Linked DNA regions of Nothobranchius furzeri. The main gene of each other region encodes a partner of the protein of the gene in region 3 in a complex. Links are inferred from orthologs where the notes say so. Each region holds a gene or a part of one and is shown on either strand. Other genes may lie near its edges.

Region 1 (10,039 bases), on a different chromosome or scaffold from region 3:
CATCATAGAAGAGACTTTACTGGAAGAGAAATCTCCCCAGTGAGAAGACTGGCAAAACACTCTACGTGAGTGTGTGTGTGTGTGTGTGTGTGTGTGTGTGTGTGCACTGCAGACGTGCGCTAAAGCTCAAATGTTAAACATGCCTGAGTGAATAGCATTTCAGCTTTTCCAGCATTCCCGGCATTCCGTCCTGTGAATTTCCAGGCAGCGTGGGGTTCACTGATCCTCTGACATCACATGGGAAGGTGGCGGTGTGTGTGGGGGTTCCACTGCCTTCTACATTCTTCCTCTCTTGTTCGCACAATCCCACCCATGTTTGGAAGCGAGAGGAAGGGAATCCCAGATGATGACTCAGATGCTGCTGCAGCGGGAAACTCTCCGCACATCTGTTTCCCTCTGCTGTGAGGACGTCGGTGTGAGCATCCTCCATCTGTCAAAAGGACGTTTCACCCGTGCCGAGTCCAAAATGATAACGTGGCTTTGACAGAAGAATGAAACAATAGCTCTTGCATGAGCGTGATTAAGTGACGCTGTTTCTATTTATATTCAATTTCTCCTGGCAGCAGCATCAGACAAAAACCGTCCTTTATCCTCTAGAAACTCTCAGTCCGAATGATGAGGAGTTGACGGAGAGCTACTTCTTTTACAGATTTCTTGTTTTTGACTTGTTTGTGGGTCACACTAAAATGTTTTAGATCAGCCAGTAACTTAATAATGAACAAAGATGATCTGAGCTAAAGCAAAATGCAGTCAAACGCTACCAAAGGCACCCTTGTCACATATCCATCCCCCTCAACATGATCATTACAAACCACAGGCCTAATTAGCAGCTCAGTGGCCTAGTGGTAGAGTGTCTGCCCTGAGACTGGGAGATCAGGGTTCGATTCCTCATCGGGTCATACCAAAGACTTTGAAAAAATGGGACCCAATGCCTCCCTGCTTGACACTCGGCATTAAGGGGTTGGATTGGGGGGGTTAAACCACCAAATGGTTCCCGAGCGCGGCTGTGTCTGCAGCTCACCGCTCCCCCGGGGGATGGGTCGAATGCGGAGAGCAAATTTCGCACACACATCAGTGTGTGTGACAACTAATGGGACTTTAACTTTTAACTTTAGCACCAGAACTGTAGAATTAAGATGTTACTTCAAAAGAACCTGGCTGACATCATGACACAGGTTGAAAGATCGCAGAAAGCAACACATGGTGCCTCGTAAGAAAATTCAAGCATAAAGGAACCCAGAATGACACCCGAGCGATGTAGAACGAGACAGGAAGAAGAACAGAAAACACTGGAAAAGTCTTCCAATGTGATCAAATTAAAACTATTCTGTGAAGAAGAGTGGGACAAACATCCTTCAGAGGTCTTGCTTTCACGAGCGTTCTCACCAGTTATTAGATTGAGTGATCAAAAACTTTTTCACACAGGACCAGGTTGGTTTGGAAAGCTTTTTCTCCTTCTAAACTAGTTTACTAGTTGAAAATAAGATTTTTAATTTACTCAAAATTGAAGTGTGACAAAACAACAAAAGCAAACGAGGGCAAATACTTTTTTTATAACAGCAGTGTAAACCTCCCCTCTGTAATAATAATAATAATAATAATAATAATAATAATAATAATAATAATAATAATAATAATAATGATACATTTTATTTAAAAGCGCCTTTCAGAACACCCAAGGTCACTTGACAGAAAACACTTAATAAAATACAATAAAACAATAATAAAACCCAAACAAGTAGGCAGATTTAAACATATGTGTTTTGAGTTTTGTTTTGAAAAGGGTAAAACTGTCGGTGTCCTTATTTCTGGGGGAAGTGAGTTCCAGAGACGAGGAGCAGAGCGGCTGAAAGCTCTGCTCCCCATGGTAGCGAGACGGGCAGAAGGAACCGCAAGATGGATGGAAGAAGAAGATCTGAGAGAACGGGATGGGGTGTGAATGCTTATAAGGTCTGAGATATATGGAGGAGAGAGGTTGTGGATTGCTTTGAAGGTATGGAGGAGAATTTTGAAGATGGACCTGAATTTAACTGGGAGCCAGTGAAGCTGTTGGAGAACCGGGGTGATGTGGTGAAAGGAAGGGGTTCTGGTGATAATACGGGCTGCTGAATTCTGGACCAGTTGCAGTTTATGAAGGAGTTTGTTGGGGAGACCATAAAGAAGTGAATTGCAATAGTCGATACGGGAGGTGACGAGGCTGTGGACGAGAATGGCGGCAGTGTGAGGGGTAAGGGAGGGGCGAAGACGGTTTATGGAACGTATGGAAGTATGCTGACTGAATTATGTTATTAATGTGAGCTTGAAAAGAAAGTGAGCTGTCGAGGATGACACCCAGACTCTTGACGTGAGGGGAGGGGGAGACTATGGCGCTGTCAATAGTAAAAGAAAAGCTGTCAGATTTTGAGAGGGTGGATTTAGTGCCAACTAGAAGTTCAGTTTTATTGCCGTTGAGTTTGAGGAAATAAGAGGTGAACCATGATTTGATTTCTGAGAGGCAGAGTGTAAGGGAGGATGGTGGGAGAGTTGAGTTGGGCTTACTGGAAATGTAGAGCTGGGTGTCATCCGCGAAGCAGTGAAACTGGATATTGAATTTGCGGAAGATTTTGCCGATAGGGTAACACACAGGGACGTGAACGCTCACGCACGAGTCAATACCTAAAGCTGCAGCCGGCCACAAATGAGATCATAGCTGAACGTTGGGACGTGTGATCAGGACACTCTCCAGATGAATGTTTATTATGCTCACCTTGAATTTAAAAGGAAGAACGTTCAAAGAAACACACAGCTCCTTTGTATTTGTGTGTGTGTGTGAGTGATGAAACATTAGTTTTCATTGGATGCAAGATTGATGAGGACTATGGAATAAGACTCTGGAGAGGGTCTCACGCTGGAGGTCCAAACCATGAACTTAAATTTAGATCCACTTTGTTCTTGCATGCCAATGTCAGAGAAATGGGCTCTCTGGAGCTCGTCTGTGGTCCAGTGTTCTAGAAAGGACGCTGTTGTTCTGCCGTGCCGTCTGAAACGCAGACGATCCCTCAAACAGCCCAAAATGAAAGAAAGGCTTTCATGGACTAGTCTGTTTAACTCCACAGACGGTCGAGTATGATTCCCCCTGGACTCATGAAACAAGTAATTCACAGATAACGTCTCACCCATGCTCTTATTTTGCTACAGAGAAACCTAAATTGCACTGATTTCAAGGAGGAGCCGATGCAGCGTTCAAAGAACATGCGCTGCTTAGATCTTGAGAAATCTAATTTCTGAATAGAGTGAAAAATGTGGTAGATGACATGAAAATGAGCATGTGTGCGAAACACAAGTCATCGTGTGCACGTCTTAATTTTCTCCCTACTACATAATAGTCTCCGACAGAGACAGGGATCACAAATCTCTCCCTGTCTCGTTAGTAAAACGAGCTAATTAAAAAGCTGTTAATGGTGTGAGAGAAATGAGAAAAATTAACAGCCATAAAAACATATGAAGGTAGAACTAAACAAAATGATTACACAGTCAAATTAAAGAGTTGAAACCACACACACAAGCATCCTACACATCCCTATTTGAGCGTGCAGATTAACAGAGCAGGAAGGAAAAAACAGGAGGAAAAAAAACCCAACAAAAAACAAATGAGTCACTGAAAACCAACTGGGACACACCATGTCACATCCTGAGAGAGAAAGTGAAAGATGCCCTCCTCTTATTGAAGCACAGATGGATCTCCCAATCTGTTATGCAGCAGTGTGCCAAATGACAACTGGTCACCAAACATCTTGCACCTTAGAGCACAGACTTTAATCCCAGCCCGGTTCAGATTAACCAGTTTCGTTTGTGACAAGAAATCAGCACAGAAAAGGCCTGAATGAGTCCAGTTGTTAAAATTAAAGGTCTCAAGCGACCTCTAGCGGGCATGTGGAGAACCTGCACGGTGGATTGACGTAAATTTGGACCGTACTACTATGATAAAGTGTGTGTGTGTGTGGGGGGGGGGGTCCGCTAAATTACAAAGGCTAAAACAGGATTGTTATTGTACATTTTGATTATTTGTTCATATAAAACCACTCAATATACATTAACTTTGTTTTTAAGAGAACCGTGGTCGTAAAAACCTTTATAGACTCTCTTTAAACTGGTCTATTTGACGGATGAAGTGGAACCGCGCAGAGGCGCCTTTTCTGAGCTCACGTTGTCGTGCAAAAAAGGAGCTACGCTATGTAGCCTGATAGGCTTGCTAATGTTTGCGTCCCAAACGGGCTAGTTTACAACAAAAACAAGGCGCAGCAGCATAAAGTCTTATTTTTAAGTGTATTTTTTCAGCATGGCTGCTAAGAAGAAGCGAACACCGAACACACAGAACGACAGCTGGGTTGTTGTTGCTGCAGGTAAGTTTAACTGGGCTGTTCTGTGCTAGGATGCTAAAAACGATAACGGATGATAGCCCTTTTACAATAGCATTCGGTAGCTTGTCTTTTATTCAGACGGAAACCCGGAAACTTAATTCATTTGATAAAACGTAAAAGATAAAGGATTCTGTAATTGTTCAGCATGGGTTATTTTATTTTATTTTATTTTATTTTAATGTGACATTTTCCAGGAAAAACGCATCAAACACTGTAAACAAGGAAGTTCTGCTAGTAGTGGCAAATTTGCACACCCAGATTTCTGATTAGGATTTTAATTATGTGTTAATTGTATTTACAACTTTTTAGTCCTTTTAATTTGTCATCACTTGCCCGTCCCAATGTAGTTCAAGATGAATTTCTTGTTGCAGCATTTGTAAAATGCTAGATCCTTTGTAGTTTAAATCTATGAAATTACAAATACAATCGCCCCCTAAAACATACACAAATTATATATTAAAAACATTAACTTTTTTATTTGCACAAATTAGTTTGAGTGTTCACAGGCATGTGTGGCAGCATTTGATCACATTTATAAAAATAAAACATTTATAAGTTGTTTGTTTAATGTTTTTACTTCTCGTTGTCCTCCACAGAGTCCGTCACAAACACACAGAAGCACGAGAGTGATCCAGCTTTCGTCAGTCTCAAGAATCCCTCCACAGGTTTAACTTTATTTAAAACCAGTTGTGTATTTACATAAAAGGGTTGTTTCCTTTTAGTTTATAAACATGAAATTTTCATAAACGGACAAGACACTTAAACAATATAGAATTATAGCTTAGATTGTAGATTTTGTACTTTTTTATGACTGATTGATCCCAATATCCCAGTGATCTGCTGTAGTAGTAGTTTCTATAATGAGAAGAAGATGAAGTTTGGGTTTTGCATTACTCTAACCCTGAGATTTTAAAATTATTCATCAGTGATGACAAAAACAAATCTAGATACGGAATGCCTTCCCTCTGGACTTATTGCTGATATTTTTCCACTCAGAAAAAATGTCCCACAGATAAGCTGCTGATACGATGTAGCGGTACTTATTCAGGACAGGGGTGGACATTAACTTCAAAACCAACCGGCCAGCCGGGCCGGTAACTCTGAATATTTACCGGCCCCGCCAAGAATCTACCGGCCCCGCAGGTCAGCTGCCAAAACGAGTCAAAATAACAACTGAACCGTTTTAAATGTAATAAACCTTTATTTTGTACACATTCACAAACATAATAACGTATTCAAGTTTGAATTTGTTTGTTCCCTCAACAAAACTCGATTTTATCGTTGCATACTTCCGGCATACAACGCAGTACATCACCAACTCCGCTTTGCTGTATTCGAGCCATAGGCCGTGTTCGAGATGAGCCAGTTCTGTGCAGATTAGACCAGCGGTGATCGGCGAGCAGTGCATGCCGGTTAGATTCGTGTCTGAATTGACGCCGACTTGCTCTGACTTCATGCATACGTAGGCAACGATAACCTCGTGAGATCAAGGCGGCCGCAGATTTTGGAGCAAGGCGCTGCAGTTGCTCTCCCTCGGCTGCAAAACCTAGATGATGACGGGAAACGCCTGGCTCTCACCTGATCTAAGATCTGATTGGTTCATATTTTGATCCAAACATCCGGTGGTAGAACATGAAATGTTAGTCGGTCACATGTATTCTGTAAATCACGTATAGGCCATAAAGAGAAATGTGTTTTGTTTTCTTTTGTCACGTTTCCTATGAGCACACTGAACCTACAGCTGCTAACCTTTACTTACAGTCATGTCTTCATATACAATATATGATATCCACAAGCACGTGAGGATGAGTTTCAGCTGCTAACAGGCACCAGAATTAAAATTGAAAATTGAACAAGTGTGAACGCTAACACAATATCTTCAGCCATCGTCACCCCCGAGCTACACATGCAGGAAAATCCAAGAGATTCAACTGGCAGAAACAACTGGTTCTCTCTCTCTCTCGCTCTCTCTCTCTCACACACACACGTAGAGGAAAAGAGCTGAGAAAACTACAGCTGAGCCGAGGCGCGTCTCGAATGGGGCGCGTCTGATCTGAACTGAGGAGCGGCCGGATTTCGTGAGCAATTCGCTTCTCGGCGCTTTGGGCGCTTCCGCGGCTGGTGTCCCGGGCGAAACGCCGGCTTTCAGCCACTCCCCCCGCTGCTTTGTCTTCTCTCGCCTGTTTTCCAGGCGAGGCGCTGCTCAACTCGAACACGGCCATTCTCTGCGCCTCCAGTCTTCTTTAAACCGCCAAGAATCATTCCACCTACGCACACGCTTCTCTGCTTCATACCGTTTTGAACTGTCTCGCTTCTCCTCACCAGTTTTAAAGCGTTTTGCCGGAGATTTCATCAAGAAATCCCATCCCTGTGGTGGCGCGATCTCCCTGCGTGCTTGTGTGTTTCTAGCGTGGTTCCACTTCGTCTTTAATAGTGAACTTATAGTTCACGTGACTATAACTAGAATGTGCAGTACGTGCACGAATCGTACAAGTGCAGCACGTGGCTAGAGGCGCGCAGGTTCACGCGCGCGAAACGAAAACGGCAGCTTCCTACAGGGCGGGGCCATGATGTAGGTGAAAGCCGGTGTGTAAATGACAAATAAGGCTTGGGCGCCACCCAGGCGGTAAGTCGTCAAGTATTTACCGCCCGACGAGAAAATTTAGCGCCATTGGCGCTCGGGCGCTTTAAAGGTCCACCCCTGCAGGAGCATAAAATGTGTTTTCAGTTTCTCTTTTAAACTGATTAGACTTGATCTCTAGTGCACTACAAACTGATGTTCCCCTAACCTTTTTAAAATACCGTATTTTCCGCACCATAAGGCTCACCTGATTATACGGCGCACAGCCAATCAGCGTCCTAGTTAAAGGTTTGGTCGTCACATAAGGCTCACTGGATCAAAACACGCACCCCGCAAAGCAAACGAGCGTCCCGGTCGGCACAGTTGAGGCAAATTGGGCACTTAGATCAAAGTCAAACGTTACTCCACTCATTGTCTATACTAAAAAATAAATTTCTCCTTATTAAAGTAACATAAATGTCCCAATTTAATGCACGGGTGCTTTTAGCAGCAAGAATGAAGATTTAAACTCTCTTCACCTGGATTTTAACGGCGTCGGTGAGATGGGCCTGCACGGAGTCGCAGATCAGCATGCCTGGATAAGTGTGGAAGAAGCCGTCCTGTCTTTTGGGGTACACCTCCCGCCGCCACGCCGCCATCATGTCCTCATCCATCCAGCCCTTCGGGTTCGCCTTGATGATCACGCCGGCGGGAAACTTTTCTTTGGGTAAAGTTTTCCGCTTTAAGATGACCATCAGCGGCAGCTTCTGGCCATCAGCCTGGCAGGTGAGCACGACTTCTCGTGGCCGGTCGTCCGCACAGACACCGTGCTGGTCCCCATTTTCTCCACGGTCCAGTTCACCAGGATGTCGAAGGTAAGCAGGACCTCGTCCATGTTGGTGATGTGCTGGGGCTGGATGTTTTTGTCTGCCATCTTCTTGGTGCAATAGGAGCGGAACAACTCTAGCTTCTCAGCGTAGTCGGCGGGTAGTTGCTGCGAGACGGTAGTTCTGGTGCGGATAGAAAGCGCTCGCCTCCGCATGAAGCGAAAACACCAGGAAGGGCCTCCTATGAAGTCCCCAATGTCCATCTCTCGTGCTAATGCTGCAGCTTTGAGACGAATGAGACGCTTCTGCTCGCCACTCGCTGCTCTGCGACCCACTGCTCAACTCGGTCTTCAAGCAGCGGCCATCTTGCCTTGTTGCCTCTGAAGCTACGCTGTGTTTTCTTCACCTGCAGCAGCTGGTCTTCCAGCTTTCTCCACTTGCGGACCATCGACTCGTTAATCTTGTATTCTCGCTGCTGCTATGTTTCCATGCTCAACGGCGTGAGCGATGGCTTTGAGCTTGAACTCTGCCTCATAAGCGTGTCTCTTTGCTGGTGCCATGGCTGGTTACCGGTATAGCTGTGTGGAGCAGTGCCACACCTTTTATTTGGTGAGGGTGATAAGGACGGCGCTGGGGGGTACCGCGCTGGGCCAGAGTTACCTTAATACATGTATAAAAGGCACATCCGTATTAAAAGGCGCACTGCCGGTTCAGGGGAAGATCAAAGGTTTTTATTAGCGCCTTATGGTGTGGAAAATATGGTACCTTTGCTAGTTTGAAGTCAAACTTTGACAAAGTACAAAATCAAATGTCACTTCTTTTTGGTAATCGGTAGTAAAACTTGCCTGAGACTCAGTTTTTACCACCTTACTCTGTGCATGTTGACTTTATGATGAACTGATCAGTAAAGTGCATGTGTAAGCGCGAGCTTCAGCTACACAGTTGTCATATCTCAGCAAAGTCTCTGCATGTTTCCCAAGAGCTTTGACATATTTCTACCCTTGTGACCTGCAGAAGTGAAAGTGACACGGTTCCCCTTTCCCCTGCAGATGGAGCCTCTCTGTACCTGCTGGGAAGTGGAGATTTACAGCTGTATGAGGTCAAAGCGTTTGAAGAAGACTTCCACTCCTGGTTTGTTGACCAGACTGTGCAGAGGGGTGGGTCCCATTTCTCATGACCGCTGTCCCGCGGATTCAGCTCAGCCAGTAGGAACAGATTCAGAGTCGGCTCCTTTTGTTTTCTATCTGTGAAAAGTTTGCAGTCAGCTTTCACGTCAGTGCACTTAAAGGTTCAGAGTTCAAATTATCATTTAGAAATGATCTAAAGTATTGTATCAAACACTACATGCCACCAGGTCTGAAAAGCTGATGCTGAACTCTTTAAATGGTAAATAATACAGGTATCTTGTTACTCACATGTATAATTTTTAGGGCTGGGGATAAACGATTATTTTTTAAACGATTATTATGACGATTATTTTATCGATTAGTCGACTATTCTAATTGCTATTAAGATGATTAATCTAACGATTATTTTTTTATTGCACGATTAATAAAAACAAGAAAATCTCAAATTCCTCCAAAAAGTTGATAAATTGTTACTGTAAGAGAATAAACACTACAGACCTTCCATTTTGTATAACACTGTGTTTATTGGTTATGTTCTGGTGACGTGTAGAACTTGGGAGTGCAGGCTGCTGCCTGAGAGGTGGCTGGAGCCGGACTGTCTCCATGCTGCTTTGTTTTGGTCACTTATGTGCGGGAGGGGAGTGGTGTTACGACTCTTCCTGAGGAGTTTGGCTCGTGTGCAAAAAGGAAGGGACAATAACGGGATTTAAAAGTTAAAATGATGATCAGGTTTATTTACAACTACAAAAAAACATAAATCTCTCCATCCACAGGTTGGGAATAATAAAACTAATTCTGCCTGTGGGGAATTAAAACAAAAGTACAAATAAGTAGGGATGTCCCACTGGGCAAAGATTACTGGGTTCTGGACCAAAATAAGGATCTCCAAAGGTCCAAACTCTAAACTGGGTGGTTAAACCAGACTCAAGGTGATATTTTAAACTAAACCGAAACCCACAACACTCTAAATGTAATAAAAGGAAGATCTACACCACAAAAAAGATGAACTCTAAACCAAAACATAACAGCTTATCCAAATGCAAGAAGCTGTTAGCGAAAATGCTAACTGGCTTTACCAACGTTAAGTTCAAGTTACCAAATTTAAATAAACCAAAAACACCCAGC
Region 2 (9,898 bases), on a different chromosome or scaffold from region 3:
CAGCATTTCATAATAGGAATGTTTTATTGAAATATTTCTCATTTAAAGTATTGATGAACATTCTTCTTCTTGTAACTGACAGGCTCCATTATTTTGTTAATTTTTCACCAGCCATAGCCGTAGCCAGCAACCCTCCTCCTCCTCCTCCACTCTGGTCCCAGTGAGCCAGGCTGGCGGTCGCTCAGTAGCTGCTTTTAACCAGTCAGGATCTCGTCCCCCCGTCAGCACACACCCAGATGAGCTCCAGCCTCCCCGTGATCACTCTCCTGAGAATTCATCTGAGTCTGACCTTAGACACACTGACCATAGAGAACATCAGATGGTTGTATCAGTCCAAGCACCAACTCTCACAGCAAACTTCCAAACAAACCCAGGAGACTCAGCAGTTCAGCAAACTCCCCAAATCAGGATTCAGAGCGCAATATCGCTCCAGCGCCAGAGTTTGGACTGCCAACATGCTTCTCAGTCTCTTACACTTCAAAGGCCAGTGGACACTGAAGCTTCGCCTACTACTAGAAAAAAACGTTCTCACCCCAGACTTAGTACAAACCAAGATAGAGGGGCTGTAAAAGTTAAAGAGGAGGCCATTGTTATTTCTGATGAAGAGCTAGAAGAGGAGAACGAGGAAGGAAGGGAAGGAGAGTCAGTGATGGACGTGGAAGATGAGTTTGAGGAAGATATCCAGGATGAAGAGATGAGCAGCCCTCAGTTTCTCTCCTCTCATTCACAGGCCCTCTTACAAATCACCACCCATTCAAATGACTACTCCTTCCCCCTCTCTCCATCTTCCTCTTCTTCTGGCGCTGGACCGTCCTCACAGGAAGCTTCCTCCTTTGCTGCGTCTCTCATTCCTCCGTCCACATCTCAGCAGCAGTCAGACCCTCCTGCTTACTTCCAAGAGCTCCAGGATTCTATGGGCAACTTTGTGGAAGATGTCCCAACATGCAGCGCCTGTGGAAAGACGTTCTCATGTACATACACTCTAAGGCGCCATGCCATTGTGCACACACGCGAACGTCCATATGAGTGTCGCTACTGCTACAGAAGCTACACACAGTCGGGTGACTTGTATCGACACATTCGTAAAGCCCACGACCAGAGTCTGCCAGCAAAACGCAGCAAGGCTCACTCTGAGCCCTCTTTACCACAACAACCACCTCCGCCTCTTAGCTAACACACACTATCAGAGCTCCTCTGACACTAGTTTACGTCTACCCTAATGTTAAATGCCACTTTTATCATTTACTAAATATTTTGTTTATGTTTATGTATTTAGCAGACGCTTTTGTCCAAAGCGACTTACAAGTGATAATTGGCATGTTGCCCTTGAGGCTAACAACAACAATAACAACAACAACTTGACATCAGTCAAGGAGAGGAGGGAACAAGGAGTGGACAGTAGAGAGGGGGGACGGGTGCAGGGAGGGTGCTAGTTTAGAAGATGCTCTCTGAAGAGCAGGGTCTTCAGGAGTTTCTTGAAAATTGAAAAGGAAGACCCTGTTCTTGTAGTGCTTGGAAGGTCATTCCACGTTTGTGGAACGATGCATGAGAAGAGTCTGGATTGTCCTGAGCGTGGTGTAGGCACTGCTAGCCGACGATCCTGTGATGACCGGAGCGGCCGGGCCGAGACGTAAGCCTTTGCAAGAGGATTCAGGTAGATGGGAGCCGTACCATCTCGGACTTTTAAGATATTTTATTAAAACTATTTGTTATCTCTCATCTTCAGGTTAACTGTGTTTAAAAATAGTCTAGTTATCTAAAAACACTAAATGTTACCATTTCAAAAGAAAACTGCAACAACTTTGCAACTTTCCCTCCACCACCAAAGCACAAATACACCGTAAGTCTTGCAGCATAACCCCCAGCGTTGGAGCAGTTTTATTCAGTTTATCTTGTCTGATGTCACCATCAGCGTGTAACACAAGTGCGATGCTGATCTGGTACCTGCCATGCTACATTTAGTCATATTTAAGAGGCTTTTTACAGTCTAGGTTTGTCATTTGAACCATTTTTCTTGTGCATTGTTCAATTAAACATTCTTACACCAGACATCGTAAGAATGGATGATTATTAAGGAGCTGTATTTTAATGTCTTAATAGAATAATGTCAAGTGTTTGCCATGTTAATGTATATAACGGAAAGCTATAGTTATAATTCAATAGGTTTTGATACATGACTGTCCTGTCTGTGTGACTGTACCAGCAAATGTAGTGGTGATGTCATGTTTTACAGGGTTAATCCAACCGAGCCCAGCAAGAGGCAAACGTGTTTAAAATATCTAGTTAAAAAAACGTTTTATAACTTTAGTTTTTCTGTTTTTAATGCGCTTTGTTCAATAATAGATTCACTGTAAGCTGTATTTATCCAGTGTGCCAAAGTGTTTTCTTTCACCTCGTCTTTTATTCTTTCAACGTGAGCCAGAGTGCTGGGGGAGTGGGGGTGTATTACTGTTGCAGCTGTAGGACGTATGTAACAAACATGTGGTACTTCTTAGAAAACAGGACAATCTCTTAAAATTAAGATAAATTTAGTAATAAAAAAGCAGTTTATACTCAACAAGTGTTGACAGTTTTCATCCAGATCTCTAATTCTATTTTTCCACTTCAGTTTGAATTAAAATGAAGGGATCCGCTGTTAGTTCTGTTTTACCAAGTGTGACCCTTTTCTAGTGCACACACACGTGCACGTTTCTGCCTTATTTATATAATGTAAAGTTGGACTGTGCCTGAAGAACTTTTTGAAATGTGTACAGTGAAGTGTGAGCAGAATTTAGCATACAAGCCAATGACTTTGAAAGTGATCAAAGGCGGTGAATATTTAGTGTTTTTTTGGTTGTGAACGTCCAAAATCTAATTGTTGTGAATAAAAATAATCTTGTGAAGGTGGCACAAATGTGGCTGTTTTCCATTAAATCACACAATATACCAGCCAGTAATGTTTTGTCTTTATTTACAATTTTTTTTAATAAAATGTGAGCAATAATTGGTACAATATAATAGCTGGCTCTGTTATCGTTGGTTAGCTGGCAGCAAGATGTGTACCACTTGGAAAAAGCTGAAGAGACATCAGCCCTAACAGGGTGTTTTATCAGTCTGTTCATTCAGCTACCGGCCCGTGGATCTGTGAAAAAACAAAACAGTATCATCCAACTTCAAATCCATACACCAGCTTGTGTTTTCTATAGTTCTTAGTTCCTAATGAAGTTTGTGTTTAGGCAAATAGGAACAAGTAAATGTTGCTCCTACACGTGCTCACATTCCAGCTTTACCTTATATGTCAGAGATTATAAGTAAAGTCACAGCTGTTCAGTTTAATCTTTCCATCATCCAGATAAAGTTAGACTAATTAACTTACAGCATCTGCAAGCTCAGGCCAGTCCATGGCCATCACCACAGTATCATCAGAGGTTGGAGGAGTTTCCAGGTTCCAGTAGGTGAGTTTGTTAAACACAGATGATACCCTCACTGTCCTGTCCTGGGGACACACACACACACACACACACACGTATAAATTAACATGTAGAAATGACAGAAAATCGCCTTAAGTGTTTGATGTTTACCTCCTGGTCAGAGCCATGCTTGTTGATCTCCTTCAACACCAGGCCTGTGTAGCCCTGTGGACAGCTGATTTCCTGTCCTTTCAGACCACGTCCTCTGAATGACACCGTCTTCTCTGTAATTAGAAAACTAAATGATAAACTGTTGCTGGACTAACTAAACTACTGAAAGTTAGATACTTGTAGTAAGCGACACGGACCGCCAGTAGAGACATGTTACAAGTAACAGATGTGAGACTGTGTACCTTGTTTACGGTCTTTTGTAGTAGAAGTAAAATATTCTGAGACCCGGGCAGGTCCATTATACTCAATCTCACAGGGCATGAGGTGGACCTGGGCCTGTTTGACCTGCCCCAGTGAAGTCACATCAAGATGTGTTACACTGGTGTTACAGCTCATCCTGTAGCCAGAACACAAGAGACTGAACAGATTACACTAAAAGAGTCATTTTAGACATTTTCCAAACAAGATTTTTTTCTGCTGCAGAGGTCTCTTCCTTTTTCTCTGAGCAACACAAAGCCTAACATGACTTAATCTGAGCGTAGATCACAACTTGGTGGTTGGCTATTTGCTTTTCTATTGATATAATTGTTATTTATACGCATTAGATGGCTTCATCTCTTCTTTTAGGTGTAAATAAATGCAGAACCTTCATCTAAAAATAATATATTTACATTTCTATTATTACTTTTGTCCTTTTTAGGAAAACACGCCATACTCCCTTGTATTTATCTCTTTATTTCCTTTTTCCTCTACTGTCAAACTATATTTATGTCCTGTTTTCATTATAACTACTATCACCATCGTCATCTAAACACAAATGTTTTCTGCACTCACTAGAACTGACATTAAAAACAGTTTGTTAGACAAAGTAAATAATAGTTACTGAAGTTATTTAGAGGGAAATTCAAAAGCTGAAAATAAATTTAAATGCTGCATCACATAAACACTTCCCTACTACAGGATTAAAACTACATTATTACCCAGGACTTTTTGTTCTGCTCAAACACTATTATACATGTAGTTAAACCGTTTAAACTAACGTTGGATAAATAAATCTCCACGTTTACCTTTCTACTGTTTTCCAAACGCGTAACGGAACTACTTCCGCATAATGTGAGACACTCGTTTGATTGGATAAAATTTTTCTTCTTCTACTTCAAGGACATTTTGGCGAGGTGTTTCCGTTCTGTCGCAGATTATCGCCCCCTGTTGGTGAGGTTTAACTTGGCTTTGACGTTCAACAATGAAAAATAAGAAATTTCTTTTTTACTTTTTACTTAGAAATGTGTGAGACTTGGAGATCACATTAGTGGGTTTATTTTTGTTCATTACGTATACGAGTAATTCGTGTTTTATCTAAATAAATAAAAACCTTTGAGCTAAAATACCCTAGATAAAATATTTCATTATTTGGACCTGAACTGCAACCAGTGGGACAGGGAACATTGAAGTGCTAGGAGGAATATTGAGTTAATAAACTAAAAGCTAGTTTTAGTTTTTAAAAAAATATGTTTTGTCACTGCCAATATTATAATTTATACAATTTAAGGTTGACTTAAAAAAAATGAGTGTCAAACAGTATGATAATCTTGCTGAATCATCTTCTTGGGGGGAAAAAATCACCAAAATGTTTGCTAAATTGGTCAAATACATATTGTCACCACCCAGAGAGGGTGTAACTAAATATTAAACATGCTTAGTGCCGAGTAGTTCAGGGTAATGTTTTTGTTTTTGTTTGTTTTTTGCAAGGACAGCAAACATCCCTGCTAAAGCAGCATTTCATGAAAGAAAACTTTAAAATGGCAAATGTGAACTACACAGAAAACATTTACAATTTATTTACCTAATCATCTGCTGATCAGTAAAGTAGCCACATGTGAATTTATGATGAACCAAGCAGGTGAGGAGCTGCCAATCAGAGTCAGAAATAGAAAACGTATAAAATAATCTATTAAAGTCCTATTCACAAGATTAAAAAAAGCTTTATGAAACAGTAAGAGGGCAAACTAACACAAACCCCCCAAAAGGATGAACTCAAATGTAAACTTTAATAATCAAACATATACATTTCATTAATTTAATCATTATATCATTGTTCTACACTGTAGGGGTCTCATCTACACTGTAGGGGTCTCATGGAGACACTGGAGAAAAAACTGACATGTATATATATGCTCTAGTTGGAAGAGTCCCCTGTCCTTGTGGGCTGGACTAAACCGGTCCCGCTTTGGGCTCAGAGGCACTGAGGATGAGATCCTTGAAGCCTGTTGTTTGTGTTTCACCAGAGAGGACTGAGAAACGTCGGGTCTGATTTCCCAACAGCTCATATTTGGTCCAAAAGAAACCAGAGGTGAGTTCATCTCATAAGGACAGAAGGAAATGTAATTCAGATGTATGCTTTTTTAACTTTTGGTTTAAAAATACTTAGTTTACTTTTTAAAAACTTCTCCCTGCCTATGAGTTCATCTTAAAAATGTTGATTTTCAATGGAAATGAAATCTAACATGAGTGACAACAACTAGAACCTAAATAACTCGACCTTACTGTAACCGACCTTTTATCCACCTTTTAAAACCTGACTAATTTCTCCCTCTTTGAGCAGAAACCTTACCGTCAGGCTGATACTGTAGAGTCAAATGGTATGAAAGATTCTCCCTCATGACTGTGATTGGACTCAGTGGTTTGCATCTCTCTGAATGTACAGGATTGTTCTCTTACTTTGTAACGTCGTCTGTCTGCTTTTTATAAGTCTGTACATAATTTCTCGTCTTTAAATTCCAAGAAAATCTCAACCCAAGAACCTTCCAGCCGTCAGTTTTAATTATTGTGAAATCTAACTGTTACTTTTTGGCTGTTTTACTCCTTTCATTCATTTCTTTTCCATAATTTAAATCAATGTGTTCAAATGTTCCGCTCCTCTGATTTTATCCTTCCAGAGGTCAGAATTTATGGAGCAGAAAAGCCATCTGCCTTCAGATGATGTGGGGGGACTTTCAGTCATCATTAGTCGTGCTCTAGTGAAGATCCAGGATGCTGTTGCCATAGCGATTCTAGAGGCACGTCGGAGACTTTTACAGGGCTTCACCATCTTCTCCATCGTACTTCTGCTCCTCAGTGTTGCTGCTTTTCTCTACGGGAGCTTCTACTACTCCTACATGCCCAGGGCAGCCTTCTCCACACCTGTGCACTATTACTACAGGTGTGTACATCACTGCTAGTTTCTCCTTGTTGTTTATTTTCCTCCTCTTAATTTTCACAATTTCTTTACATTTTTCTTTCAACAGGACAGATTGTGAATCTCTATCTTCCTTTTTGTGCTCTCACCCTGTCTCCAACGTCTCTTTGATGAGAGACAAGAAGCATGTCAGTTTATCTGTATTGTTCTATTGAATGGTCAACTCACTGTTTAGTAAATTCGCCGGTTAAATTGAGATTTTGTTAAATGTGTGAGCAGGCGCTGACCTTTGGCCAGATTTATCGGATCTATTTGCAGCTGGAGATGCCTGATTCTCCAACCAATCAGCAGGTGGGGATGTTCATGATAAAGATGGCCTGCTTCTCCCAGGATGGAGAGCAAGTTGCAACATCTGCTCGCTCTGTAAGCTGCTGCTGTGTCTCCACACACCAATAAATAAATAAATAAATAAATAACTAGATTTGTCAGTGTTTGTGATGATTTGTGCTGAAATGTGTTTCCCAGGCAAGCCAGCTGCAAAAGGCCTCCAGCTCCCGCATTGTGAGTACAGTAAAGCATTTTTGCCCACACAGCCTGGTATTATAGCTGCTCCTGTGGAGCTCCACTGCAGTAGAGGGGATCTCTGTGGTGATTATAAGAAGACATGAGCTGAACTCAGGAGGCTCAACTGAATCAAGTTGGTTAAATACTGTAAAAATAGAACTGGTGCAACAGTTGTTCTATAAGCATATATTTGAAAATGTCCATGAAATTCCCATATTTAGTTTAAAAAAGAGGAAATGCAGTAAAGTTGAGCAAAGGAGTAATTATTAAATCAGAACATTTTGAAGGAAATCCGCAGGTGTAGAGAGAAGTTTGGTCTCATTCTCTTAGATCAGTGGTTCCTAACCTGGGGGTCCCGACCCCCACAAGGGGGCGCCAAAGCCTCTCAGTGGGTCGCCAGGACCTCTCCACTGATGTGGAGACCCTGAAATGCGACCTCCTGAACAGAATTCCTCACGGAACCGGGTCACGCTGTGCTGGATTTCACGCTGTAATGATGTCTGTCAACTAGTGCTGCGTCAGTTTAGAGTCACTGTTGCTGAATTACCGACTGACACAAAAACAACCCGAATTTTCTCTGAGCCTGACAGTCATGTGGACCGTTTTGTCGGCCAGGGCTTCGAGATATGTTCCGATTCGCCGCTGATTCTAACCTTACATCCCGTTCCACATTTTGTGAACTTGACAAAATAGCCCGAAGGCAGTGCAGACTGATATTAGCTAAATGGAGTGAACCACGTCTCTCAAACTTTGCATTTAGGTAGGAAATTGTCTTTAGAAGATGTTAAAACTTTTATTTAGCTTACTCACCTCAGACTGTAGCCCGTCATGGTGGGGGAGCAGAGTCGGTGGGCTGTATCTAAATCGCGGAAGAGCCACGGTGGGCACAGCCTCCCTCTTGGAACGGAGACGTGCAGAATCGCGGGTAAAATGCTGGTTGCAAACTACAGCACCAGGCGGGAGCTGAATCTTTTCCAGACACGCAACCACTGGCGCCTAATTTCTAAGTCCAGCGGAAAGGAGTGCAACCCGACAGAGCTCCGCAACCATACTACACTACACCATCTCACCATGCTAACACGATATGGAGCACTAAACCCGAACTACTTTCCTAATTACACTAACAGCCAAACAGTAACTAAACTACAATATCCAACAGCCAAGCTAACACTAAATAAGTATGTATAACACTAAAAGCTATGCTAAAGACTAGGATATGCTAATGCTATATGCTAATGCTGAACTACTGCTAGCCTCCTACACTCGCATGCAAATCCAACTCCCAACTCGCCACAAGGCGTGGCCGAGACTCCCGATGCTTTTATAACGTTGACACAGAGCTGCTACGTAGTACTCTACTGGATTACGTAGTATCTTACTCTTTAGCCATTGGCTAAAATTTATTCAAAATGAGTCAAATTCTATGTTTTAAGCTGAAGGTGGAGCTATACTGTGGTATTTAGGCAGAATTTTTAATTTTTTAAGAAAATGCACCAAAATGCTAAAATAATGAATACACACATTTAAAACACTATTAGACACTCATTTATACAGTTCATCAGCAAAAAAAAGTTAATTTAGACGTTACTTGCTCTTTAAGGGGTTAAAACTTCATTTATTACTTGTTTATAGCCTACATTTTGCTCACATTTTTTTCATGAGTGAAAAGTTTACTGATATTAAGACAGGAAATAATTAGTACAGAAAAAGTAACACACTTTTAAGAACATTTTGCTCAGCTCACTGTTTTATTTTCAAGTGTCAAAAGTTCATTAAAGATAGGACTGGTTCATTAATCACAGCCTTTACAGTAAATAATCTAGTATAAACAGTAATATACACATTTAAGTACATTTTGCTCAGTGATATTTTTTATGTGTCAAACGTTTATTGAAAGGAATGATTGATTTATCAGTGTTTACAAGAAACAATGTGTTCAGAAAAGTAATACAAACTGTCAAGCACATTATGCTCTGTTTGGTTTTGTTAATGACTTTGTTCTGCACTGGAGCCTACTATTACTGTTATCTATTGAATCAAAGCATATTAAAATGTGCTTGAACAATTTTATCATTTATTAATACTGTTTGTACTGGAAGAGAGAATGGGAGGGGGTCGTCAAAAATTTTACTGGTAAAAAACGGGGTCCCTTGGGAAAAAGGTTGGGAACCACTGTCTTATGGGCCATTCCCATCTGTACCGGGTCGGCCCGGGCCGGGTAGCGTAGGTTGTTTACATATCTGGGTGGCCTGGTATTTTTCCAGGCCAACCAAGGCTCATTCTCAGCCCTCTTCTCCAGGGGGTCTGCTTCAGGCCGACCAGGGCCAACACACCCACTGCTGACAGCAAATTCACACCTTCCATTAGAGCAAGCCTCGGATTGGTGGGTAGAATCAGCCCACATGGGCTTAAGGCAAGGATGTGTGGAATCAACCGGGCCAGGCTGGGGCCGACCGGTGCTACCCGGCCCGGGCCGACCCGGTACAGATGGGTATGGCCCATTAGATGATGAATTGTGAGTTATCCTAACTTATTGGTCCTAATTTAACTGCTTCATTATATTAAAAGCCAAGTATTTCTTAAAGAAATGCACATCTCC
Region 3 (9,855 bases):
GGTCAATCTACGTTCCTACCCTCACCTATGGTCATGAGCTTTGGGTAGTGACCAAAAGAACGAGATCGCAGATACAAGCGGCCGAAATGAGTTTTCTCCGAAGAGCGCCTGGGCTCTCCCTTAGAGATAGGGTGAGAAGCTCGGTCATCCGGGAGGGGCTCAGAGTAGACCCGCTGCTCCTCCACATCGAGCGAAGCCAGTTGAGGTGGCTCAGGCATCTGGTCAGGATGCCTCCTGGACGTCTCCCTGGTGAGGTTTTCCAGGCACGTCAACCGGGAGGAGGCCTAAAGGTAGACCCAGGACACGGTGGAGGGACTATGTCTCTCACCTGGCCAGGGAACGCCTTGGCTGTGCCTACAAATCATGTCCATTAAAGTTATAAACAGAATTGGTGACAAAGGGCAGCCTTGGCGAAGTCCAGACTCTCACCACGAACAAGCCAAACTTACTGCCGATAATGCAGACCAAGCTCTGGCACCAGTCGTAAGGACACCTGACAGCTCATATCAAAAGACTGGGCACCACATACTCCTGAAGTACCCCCCACAGGTTCCCCAGAGAGAGACAGTCGAATACCTTCTCCAAATCCAAAAATCACACGTAGACTGGTTGTACAAACTTCCACGCACCCGGCAGGATGGAGTTGGTCCAGTGTTCCACGGCCAGAATGAAAACTACATTGCTCTTCCTGAAACTGAGGTGCAACTATCCAGCAGAGCTTCCATTCCGGAGCCCCTGAATAGGCTTTACCATGGAGGCTCAGGAGTGTGTTTCCCCTCTAGTGGGAACACACCCAGCAATCCCCCTTTTCTAGTAGAAGTACCACCATCCTGGTCCGCCAGTCAAGCGGAACTCTCCCAGATGTTCAGGAGAGATTGCAGAGTTGCATAAATCAACATCCCCACAACATCCAGAACCTTAGGAACTCAGAAAAACTGCCTTCCATCCCTGGAGCCCTGCCACCTTAGTGACCTCTGCACCAGAGATCGGAGAGCCCAACCCAAAGTCCCCAGAAGGTGGAATTGAGGAGGCCTTCAAAGTACTCTACCCACAAATCCACTATGTCTTGAGTCGAGGTCAGCAACACACCGCCTGCACTCTAAACAGCGTTGGGAGTGCATCCCTTTTCTGACTGGACCCTTTCTTCAGCTTGACAGCATCCTTAACCGCTGGTGTCCACTAATGGGTTTGAGGGTTGTTGCAATGACAGGCACAGAGTAAGTGGCTCTGGCCGGCCACCTCGACAATAGAGGAAGGGAACATGGCCCACTCTGACTCAGGGTCCCCTGCTCTCCTGGGATGATGTTGAAAGTTCTGTCGGAGGTGGGACAGGAGACTCCAGCAGATGTTCCCAGCAGACCCTCACAGAGCTGCAGCTTCCATGAGCTCAAACTTCTTGTTGTGCAAATCAACATTTGGCACTGGAGGAAGCCAAATCGGGTGTAAACGTGCACTACCCCCGCATGCGTATCAACTCAGAAGTAGTTTTTGATGTCAAAGATATATGCTGATTTAGCTTGTTTCTTTTTTAATTGAAAAACAAGACACTGAAATATTACAAACAGTAAACAAAACATATAGGCTACAAGACAAAGCTGAAGTTGGTTCTCTTTTTTAGTTTCTGAGTCGGGATGGGCCGTTCCAACAATTGGGTTTTTTCGGCTCTCTGAGCGTATTTATTCTGCTTCAATTATAAAACCACTAAACCAAGACTCTTCAAACCTGGACTATTACTCTACCTTAACAGCAGCCTCTATGATAAACTGACTTGTGAAGCCTTTTTATGATTAGTGAAAGTCCAAAGAAGGATACTTTTTTATTGTGAGTTTGGATTATCACATGCCAACATATTGTTCCATTTTATAACAAGAGCGCATTAAAGCTACTCAGGGAGTGGAAACAGTAGCAGGAAATGTCCTTTCTGATTCTGTATCTTAAAAAGGGAACCAACTTCAGTTTTATACAAAACAGGCAATAAAAACAGGGGCGTGCCCAGGGAGTGGCCTGGGGTAGCACATGCCACCCTTAGAATCTGATTGGCCACCCCAGGTGCCACCCCACTAAGTTCCAATGTATTGACTTTACATCGTCGACAAAAGGCTTGGGTTGTAAACTCCAAAATAGTGTGTGGGTGCATGCACCTTTCACCTTGTTTTCTAGCCCAGGCGTGTAGTATTAATAATATTTAATATTTTTTCATACTCACATACATAGTATTTAGAGTCCCACTCAACTCCAGTTGGTGGTAGTAATGCAACAAGAAGTGACTTGCTAACCACCACAAAAGTAGAAGATGAAGAGGGGAAAAAATGGTGATTGTGCAACGTGAAACTCAAAAATTCACTAGAAAGTAAATAAACAAATAAACAATTTGTGTAAATAAATAAATAAGCATATCCATTGGTGCCACCCATGAATAAACAAGTGCCCCACATGGGCCACCCCATTTTAAAAGTCCTGGACACGGCTCTGAATAAAAATAAACAAAAGATTTAGCCTAAATTATTGCATTCCCAATAGCTTCGATGTAGTAATATGTACACAGAGACTACAGATCTATTATTTCATTGTATTTACACAAATAATTTTTAGGGGGCCTTATGGGACCGGCTGTCTTCTACAATACACCTCCAGGGCACATTCACCCTGGACAACCTATAATATTTGGGATCAGCCTGAAGGACTACCAAACAGACTACGCTATAAACAACTTATTACTCTCATAAAATTTCATTCATTGCTCAAAATAGTAGAGGAAAGCCTACTTTTAATGTATTCGAAACGCATTGTTATAGAAACTTATCTTATTGCCTAAAAATGTATGAGATGTAAGCAGCGTTGAACTTGAATGCATTTGATGAATTGGACAACGGTCTAATGATATGTACACAAATGTGTAAATGTGAGAGTGGGCGTGGTTTTATCTTAACTTGTTATCCTATTCAACATGTTTCTGTTTGCCTAAATGGAAAAACTTGGAAAACAAAATTCACTCTAACTTTTCCAAAAGTCTGAAGCCTATTTGGTCAGTTACCTCCTTAGTGTCCAGTTTTTACCAAAATAGTGCAACAAAAGTAATTTTATACATTTATCTACAAGAATGACGGATACATTTTGATTCATTTGTGTTTCACATTGTGAAAATCCTTATTTAGGCGTTTACAAACACAGCGATGTTATTGCTGTGAGTCTCCAGGCCAGATGAGGGCGCTACTGAGCATCACAAATAGAATAGGAAGAAGTCCGTGATGACGTCACTCCCAGGCGCCAAAATCGGTGTCGCTCAAAAGCACAAAAAGGCAGAAGAGGAACACATTTACCGCTGGTAAGGGTACCGTTTTCCTTTTTAGATGAATTGTTGGGATGAATATGTGTTTAATGTTCTCTCGTGACCCATTAAACACAACCTATTATAGTATTAACGATTTCTGCCGGTACAACGATGCTACCAGAAAAATCTAACAAGAATCCGTTCTTTATTAACGTTTGAAGCTTAATAAGGTGTTTTTTGTTACTCGGTAAACGGGATAGTATCCCATTAAGCACTTTAACGCCGAGTTTCCTTCCAGACAGCAGTAATGGACCTGAGCCCGTTTGAAGCTGATAACTCTGTCAGCTGCCGGCTAGCCTCTCAGATCCCGGACGTGTGCAGGACGGAGGACTGCTGTCTGGGTGTGGATGAGGCGGGCAGAGGGCCTGTGCTAGGTGTGTTAAAATAAAACAAACCCCAGTAAACCTGCTCTCCTCCATGCATACTGACAGGGTTTTGTTCCAGGGCCTATGGTGTATGGGATATGTTTCTGTCCAGTATCTCAAAAAGAGGAGCTGAAGGCCTTGAAAGTGGCAGGTAATAATTATTTTTATTTGTTTATATTCCAGGCTCATGCTGACCTTCATCTTTATTTTCGTAAACTTGTGCAAATTTGAAGTCTATTAATCTTCATATTCTGTATTGGAAAGCAAAGCTGTAAACAAAACGAACTACAATAATATTAAACAAAATATTGTCACACACACTGGTGGTATATATATATATATATATATATATATATATATATATAGTAATATATATATATATATATATATATATATATATATATATATATATATATATATATATATATATATATAGTAATAAGGCGTCTATGTGAATCGTATCGATCAGAAGAGTTTTTGTTTGGGGGTTCCAGTCTGTCTTTATGTGAATCAGTTGGAAAAATTAGGAGATTCATCTTGTTCACAAACTACCGTGTCAGTCACACGTTGAATTGAATCAAAACTGACTTGAAATTGAAGTTATAAAGCATTCAAAAAACAATAACAATAAAGTTTTAAGTATCAGGCATTAAAGCAGAAGCTTTGATGCTCCACCTGAAAGTAAATCTGTAAGGCTTGTCACCAGCAGTCAGACATCAATTCTGTTTGCTTCACAGCCAGACAGGACACGGGGAAAAAAATAAAAATAAAAAAATAAATAAAAAGAAACTGAGTTGAAGTAGTTCCCGAGTGCAGCCGCAGCTCACCGCTCCCTACGAGGATGGGTCAAAGGTGGAGATCAATTTCTCCAATGTGTGATGACTAATGGGACTTTAAATTTAACTTTAATAATTTACTGATCATTTTTGTCGGGCTTTTGGAGCAGAGGGACAGTCTGAACCTGATGGTAGAAATTTTTTTGCATTTTGCAAGAAAATCACATTGATGGTTTGTTTGAATTTTTCCTACAGATTATTAAAAAGTCTGTAAACGCCAGAGTAGGTCACTGCAAAACCCTTCCGTGTGTGTGTGTGTGTGTGTGTGTGTGTGTGTGTGTGTGTGTGTGAACGTGATAAACAATTTGTCATCCTCTTTTTCTTAATCAGATTCAAAGACTCTAACAGAGGCAGAGAGAGAAAATCTCTTCCAAAAACTGGAAGAAGCCAAAAGCTACGTTGGCTGGGCCCTGCAGATTCTTTCACCCAACGTTATCTCCACCAGTATGTTACAAAGGTTAGTCACACTGAGCTCACACGAGTGATGGATATGGAAACACACACACACACACAATCATATTCTCTTGATTTGTTTCAAGGACAAAATACAACCTCAACGCCCTCTCGCATGATACCGCCATCGGCCTGGTGCAGTTTGCCTTGGACAGCGGAGTTCAAGTTAAAGAGGTGTGTGAACTATGAATATGAACATGCTGCATGCATGTTGTGTTTGACCTCTTTATTAGGCACGTCTCTTCATCTGTTGTTGGCTTGCAAGACAAGCAGGTCCATCTGATCACCGGGACCTGCTGAGGTTCAAAATGAGCATCAGGATGGAAAAGAAACAACATTTATGAGTCGTGGTTGTTGGTACCAGACAGACGAGTATTTCAGAGCCCACTGATCTTCTGGGATTTGAACCCACAACCATTTATAGAGTTCATAGAGAGTGGTTAAACTGGTTCTAGATGATAGGAGGATCAGATCAGCACTGGTTCCTCCTACCATGGTCTGCAGGGGAGCACCAGCTGCTCCAGACAAACTCCAGCAGCAGAAGACCACACCAGGTGTCTCGCCTGTCAGCTCAGAACAGGAGACTGAGGCAACAACTCGCACCGGATCAACAGAACTGGACCAGAAGAGACTGGAAAACCTTTCCTGGGCTGATGAGTCTGGATTTCAGCTGCAACATTCAGATGGTCGGCTCAGAATTTAGTGTCACCAACATGAAAGCATGGATCCACCCTGCCTTGATCAGTGCTTCAGGCTGCTGCTGCTGGAGATGTTCTTGCCCTACTCTGGACCCTTCAGTCCCATCTGAGCCTGGTGGAACCACCACAGCCTACCTGCATATTGTTGCTGACCATGTCCATCCCTTCAGGACCACACGGACCCATCTTCTGATGGCTTCCTCCAGCAGGATCATGCACCGTGTCACAAAGCTCAGATCATCTCTAACTGGCCATGAGTTCACTGGACTCCAATGACCTCCACAGTCACCAGATCTCCTCTTTTGGATGAGGTGGAACAGGAGGTTCTCATGGATGGAGCTGACATCAGGATGGACCAGAACCTCTGGGGAATGTTTCCAACAGCTAGATGGATCTGTGACCTGAAGGATTACAGATGGGGATGTTCTGATCGTGTTTATTTTAGTTGATTCAGGGTAATTTGATTTGAAGAACCTGGCGACGCCGAGTCCTGATCCAATACTTTAGAAATGCATTAATAAAAAAGGAAAACACTCGAGAGTTTTTAATCATTAATGAGTTTCTTTCTTTCTGTATTTATGTCATTTCTTTAGTTTTATCTGCCATAAAACATCACTTGTTTTATTACTCGTCACTCAGGAAGTACATCAGTAAGAAATGAGGTAATATTAGGAATATATTTGAAAGTAGTCTTGTCACCCATATTGCAGATAGTGTGCGACAGGGATGGCACGACACATGGCGGTCAGCAACAGGGTTACTTCTTTCTACAAGGCACCTGAAGAGCTGCTGCGTCTCTAGAGTTGGGAAGAGAAAGCAGATCATGACTCAAGGAGACCGCAGAACCGGACATTTGCAACCTCAATGATCCAGTGTGATCTGAGCGTTTTTGCTATCCATAGACAATTTCTTAACGCATCTTTTGTTTGTTTGGGCTGGCTTATCTGAATTATAGCAGCGAACTGAGCAGGGTTAGTTTTTTAAGGTGGCACACGTAGTGTTGAACGCAGCACGGCCTTTTCCAGCATGTTAAATGCCCAGTTTGCACACATTACACGTGTTTATTACACCCCCTTTGCTGTTGGTTTTAATTACATCCACGTTAGACATTTTCTCTCTCTTGAGGTGACGACTGTGTTCTGCATTAGCCTGTTCGCTAACAGGTACATGTTGTGGCGTGTGATTTCCCGGGCTACCTTAAATTGTGGGGCTCTACAGCGTTGTTGAAAATCTCTTTCTCAGCATGAATTAAAAAAGTAACGTTTGTTGTTTGAAACGATTAAATCAGGTATTTTTTTCACCTGATTCTGATTTCCTGAAAGTCACGTGATCGGACCCGATTTCTGATCACGTGATCGGATCGGAGCATCTCTAATTATAGAGGTTCTGAAGGAAGAGGTGGATCCAGCTTGAAACGTGTACCTATGAAGTGACCAAAACAAACTAACAGACAGAAGCTTTTTAAATCCTCATTCAGAGATGAATGTTTGTAAGATTTCATATGAAGACTTTCTAATGTTTTTGCAGGGTATCCGCGGGTCCTTTAAGTCTTAAATTTGCTTTTTCAAATTTAAGGCCTTAAAAATCCATAACAATTACAAATAATCCTTAAATACAGTTTCCAAAGGTCTTAAATTACCAACGACCCAATAAACAAGATTCTTTCATTTCTATAAAATTTTCGTGAATTTCTAGTGTTCAGCATTTGTTGTGTACGATGTTGGCGTAAGCGGAACCGTACACATTCAGTTGGTTGTGAAAGGGGGCTATTTTTAGATGAGCACATTAGCTGGTTAAGCTAGTGGGAGCTTGCGCCATGGGGAAGTGCAAGTTTAATGGTAACTGGATGGCTAATCCCACGTTCGTGACGTGGTTAGCACCGGTTTCAGGCAATAGCCGGAAATTATAGCTTATTTAATTTAAAAAAAGTAGCTTAAATTTGGTCAAAGTGGCCTTAAAAAGCTCTTAAAAAGTCTTAAATTTGGCTCCCTTAAACCTGCAGATACCCTGTTTAGGTAAAAAGTAAACTAAGTGATGCAACTAAACCCAGAGACGTGCGATGCTTAACCTCTAAACCGTGCTTGTGCGTTCCTGGTACTCGTAAAAATCACATTCAGGTCGGTGCTGTAGGAAGGAAACTAGCTCATTTAGTCTTTTTCTCTGAACTTGTTGCCCCAAGTCCTCGTGTTCACCTCACCTCATGTCTTCATACGGGGCACGGGCCTTTTTACATCTGAGGAGACAAAACTTTCAGTCATTTTATTATGATTTAGTTTTGCTGCATCCTGTTTTTCTCCATCAGTCGGGTTTATCTGGTCTTCCTCAGGTTTATGTGGACACAGTCGGCCCAGCAGAGAAGTATGAGGAGAAGCTCTCCCAGCACTTCCCTGGCGTCCAGGTGACGGTGAGGCCAAAAGCCGACTCCCTCTTTCCCATCGTCAGTGCTGCCAGCATCTGTGCAAAGGTGGGTCGTCCTGCACCTTTTCTTCATGACATCACTCGTGTTCTTAACATGTTTGACATGAGAGCAGCAATGCTGAAGCATCAGGCCTACGTCACAGAGAGGAGGAGCTCTCAGTGTAGCGGTGGGTGTTTAGGTCCAGTCTTCACCCTACACGGGTCACCAAGGTCACGAATACAAACAGGACAGCATGATTTCCCTGTGTTGGGTAGCTATCAGCCTTAGACTCAGAGTGGAGCTGCTGCTGCTCCTCCAGGAGGTTCAGACATCTGGTCTGGTCCCACGGGTGGAGCTGAGGGGAGGACCGAGGACTCTGCTGGGGTTGCTCCGCCCACAACCCAGATAAGTGCAGAAAAAAGGTCAAAATGTTTACAAACATAGGTTTGGGTCCTGTGTGGTGTGTGATGTAATCATGACATCATGCTATGGCGGGGATTAAAGCTCTCCGTCATGGCGACGGAAATCGCTGAGCAACATGGATGCATCAGCGGATTTCACTCTAGTCTGTGTTCATAATGGATTAAGAAAGGACAGGAAAACATTGTTAACTCAAACATATCATTATAATGAACATGTATAGATACTTTATCATACATAACTACCAGCCTGTAGCTCTACTTTCCCCCAAAATGCACCAGACTGATGCGTTTAAATATAAAATGTCCAATAATTTTTTTCCAGGGGGGCCATGCCCCCGACCCCCCTAGAGTACTTTAATACTCATCATCTTTTTTACCTCAGAGAAATCTCAACATCCACACTTATAAACACTGTGTGTGTGTGTGTGTGTGTGTGTGTGTGTGTGTGTGTGTGTGTGTGTGTGTGTGTGAACGGGTTGTTCCTAATTTTTCAGAAACAAGAATACTGACCTTAAAACCAATCCAAACCCGAATAGTGGCTGCGTGTAAACAATGTGAGCCCCCCCCCCCCCCCCATATTATTTTCAGTCAGATGAGAATTTTTTGCTTCAGTCCCTGTGCTGCGGCTCTTGTTACAGTTTTTCCATAAAATATCCTGATTTTGTGCTAATTTGTCCACAATTGACCCTGATTTTTCAAACTCCTCCCAAAGCTGTCTCACATCAAGCATGTGGAGTCAGAGAGACGGGTTCTAGATGTGATTTAGACGTCTGCTGCCACTTTGACTGCTGGGAAAGAACATTAGTGATGCCATCAGTGTGACTCGGTTGTTCGTAAGCGTCACCAGCAGTCGGCGCCCTTTGTCCGTGTTTAGTTAAAGATGGGGCTGCGTTGTTCATCTGGTTACATTTCTAATGGTGTTGATTATTCAGACCACTGCTTCCTCTCACAGAAACACGTAAACCCACTTGTCTTCCATTTTTAGTTTCCCTCCAAAGCTCCGTCCATAAACCTTTATATTTGTAGAAGCGTCCTCTCGGTTATCAGGTCTGATGCTGATGTTTAAACTAAAGCGTCTTCTGCAGGTCGCCAGAGATCACGCCGTCGAAGGCTGGAAGTTTCCAGAAGACCTGGGAGAGATGGATGGGGCCTACGGCTCCGGATACCCTAATGGTAGTGATGACGATGCGTGTGTTCCAGTTTTATTCATTTAAATGCAGATTTTATTTTCTAATCGCTTGTTTTGGAGACAGGATGTGTGCCGAGTCCTGCCGAGTATTGTGATTAAGGATGATATCAGGTCCAACAGTTTTTTATAGTTGACTTTGGTAAATGTGTGAGTAAACTAGGGC

Evidence for each region.
Region 1: the proteins of rnaseh2a (region 3) and rnaseh2b are in contact, whole or in part, in a crystal structure (PDB 3PUF), measured with the Homo sapiens proteins. The link is inferred for Nothobranchius furzeri from reciprocal best matches to the Homo sapiens genes RNASEH2A and RNASEH2B. Residues at the interface, in NP_006388.2 of Homo sapiens: Val227, Phe228, Ile253, Trp254, Glu255, Ser284, His285, Tyr287, Phe288, Arg291, Gly292, Leu293, Glu294, Ser295, Ala296, Thr297, Ser298, Leu299; in NP_078846.2 of Homo sapiens: His16, Phe18, Lys39, Asn42, Gly48, Ala49, Ile50, Val63, Lys64, Val65, Phe66, Lys67, His70, Phe74, Val79, His86, Phe87, Val183, Tyr211, Gly214, Leu215, Asp218, Tyr219.
Region 2: the proteins of rnaseh2a (region 3) and rnaseh2c are in contact, whole or in part, in a crystal structure (PDB 3PUF), measured with the Homo sapiens proteins. The link is inferred for Nothobranchius furzeri from reciprocal best matches to the Homo sapiens genes RNASEH2A and RNASEH2C. Residues at the interface, in NP_006388.2 of Homo sapiens: Thr11, Asn99, Ser102, Thr103, Leu106, Gly107, Arg108, Val109, Val196, Glu197, Lys198, Leu199, Glu225, Pro226, Val227, Phe228, Gly229, Phe230, Pro231, Gln232, Phe236, Leu245, Ala249, Glu250, Asp251, Val252, Ile253, Trp254, Glu255, Asp256; in NP_115569.2 of Homo sapiens: Pro33, Cys34, Glu35, Val36, Ala37, Val38, Ala42, Pro43, Val44, Gly45, Arg46, Phe47, Phe48, Pro50, Ala51, Arg53, Ser62, Phe63, Arg64, Gly65, Arg66, Cys67, Leu68, Leu134, Glu135, Thr136, Lys143, Gly146, Ala147, Thr149.

The regions. Positions count from the first base shown.
Region 1 is NC_091754.1:26,817,153-26,827,191, forward strand, and holds the start of rnaseh2b (ribonuclease H2 subunit B), read left to right. Parts: upstream 1-3,959; 5' UTR 3,960-4,318; coding exon 4,319-4,382; intron 4,383-4,996; coding exon 4,997-5,065; intron 5,066-8,836; coding exon 8,837-8,944; intron 8,945-10,039. UniProt on the Homo sapiens protein: Non catalytic subunit of RNase H2, an endonuclease that specifically degrades the RNA of RNA:DNA hybrids. Participates in DNA replication, possibly by mediating the removal of lagging-strand Okazaki fragment RNA primers during DNA replication.
Region 2 is NC_091741.1:88,182,872-88,192,769, reverse strand, and holds rnaseh2c (ribonuclease H2 subunit C), read right to left. Parts: upstream 5,031-9,898; 5' UTR 4,628-5,030; intron 3,958-4,627; 5' UTR 3,957-3,957; coding exon 3,803-3,956; intron 3,674-3,802; coding exon 3,561-3,673; intron 3,476-3,560; coding exon 3,356-3,475; intron 3,122-3,355; coding exon 3,098-3,121; 3' UTR 2,934-3,097; downstream 1-2,933. Other genes in the region: zbtb3 (zinc finger and BTB domain-containing protein 3), read left to right, coding at 112-1,174; seipin, read left to right, coding at 6,509-6,759, 6,845-6,923, 7,015-7,158, 7,261-7,296.
Region 3 is NC_091747.1:71,084,812-71,094,666, forward strand, and holds the start of rnaseh2a (ribonuclease H2 subunit A), read left to right. Parts: upstream 1-3,219; 5' UTR 3,220-3,325; intron 3,326-3,569; 5' UTR 3,570-3,578; coding exon 3,579-3,705; intron 3,706-3,775; coding exon 3,776-3,847; intron 3,848-4,862; coding exon 4,863-4,989; intron 4,990-5,071; coding exon 5,072-5,159; intron 5,160-8,009; coding exon 8,010-8,147; intron 8,148-9,588; coding exon 9,589-9,676; intron 9,677-9,855. UniProt on the Homo sapiens protein: Catalytic subunit of RNase HII, an endonuclease that specifically degrades the RNA of RNA:DNA hybrids. Participates in DNA replication, possibly by mediating the removal of lagging-strand Okazaki fragment RNA primers during DNA replication.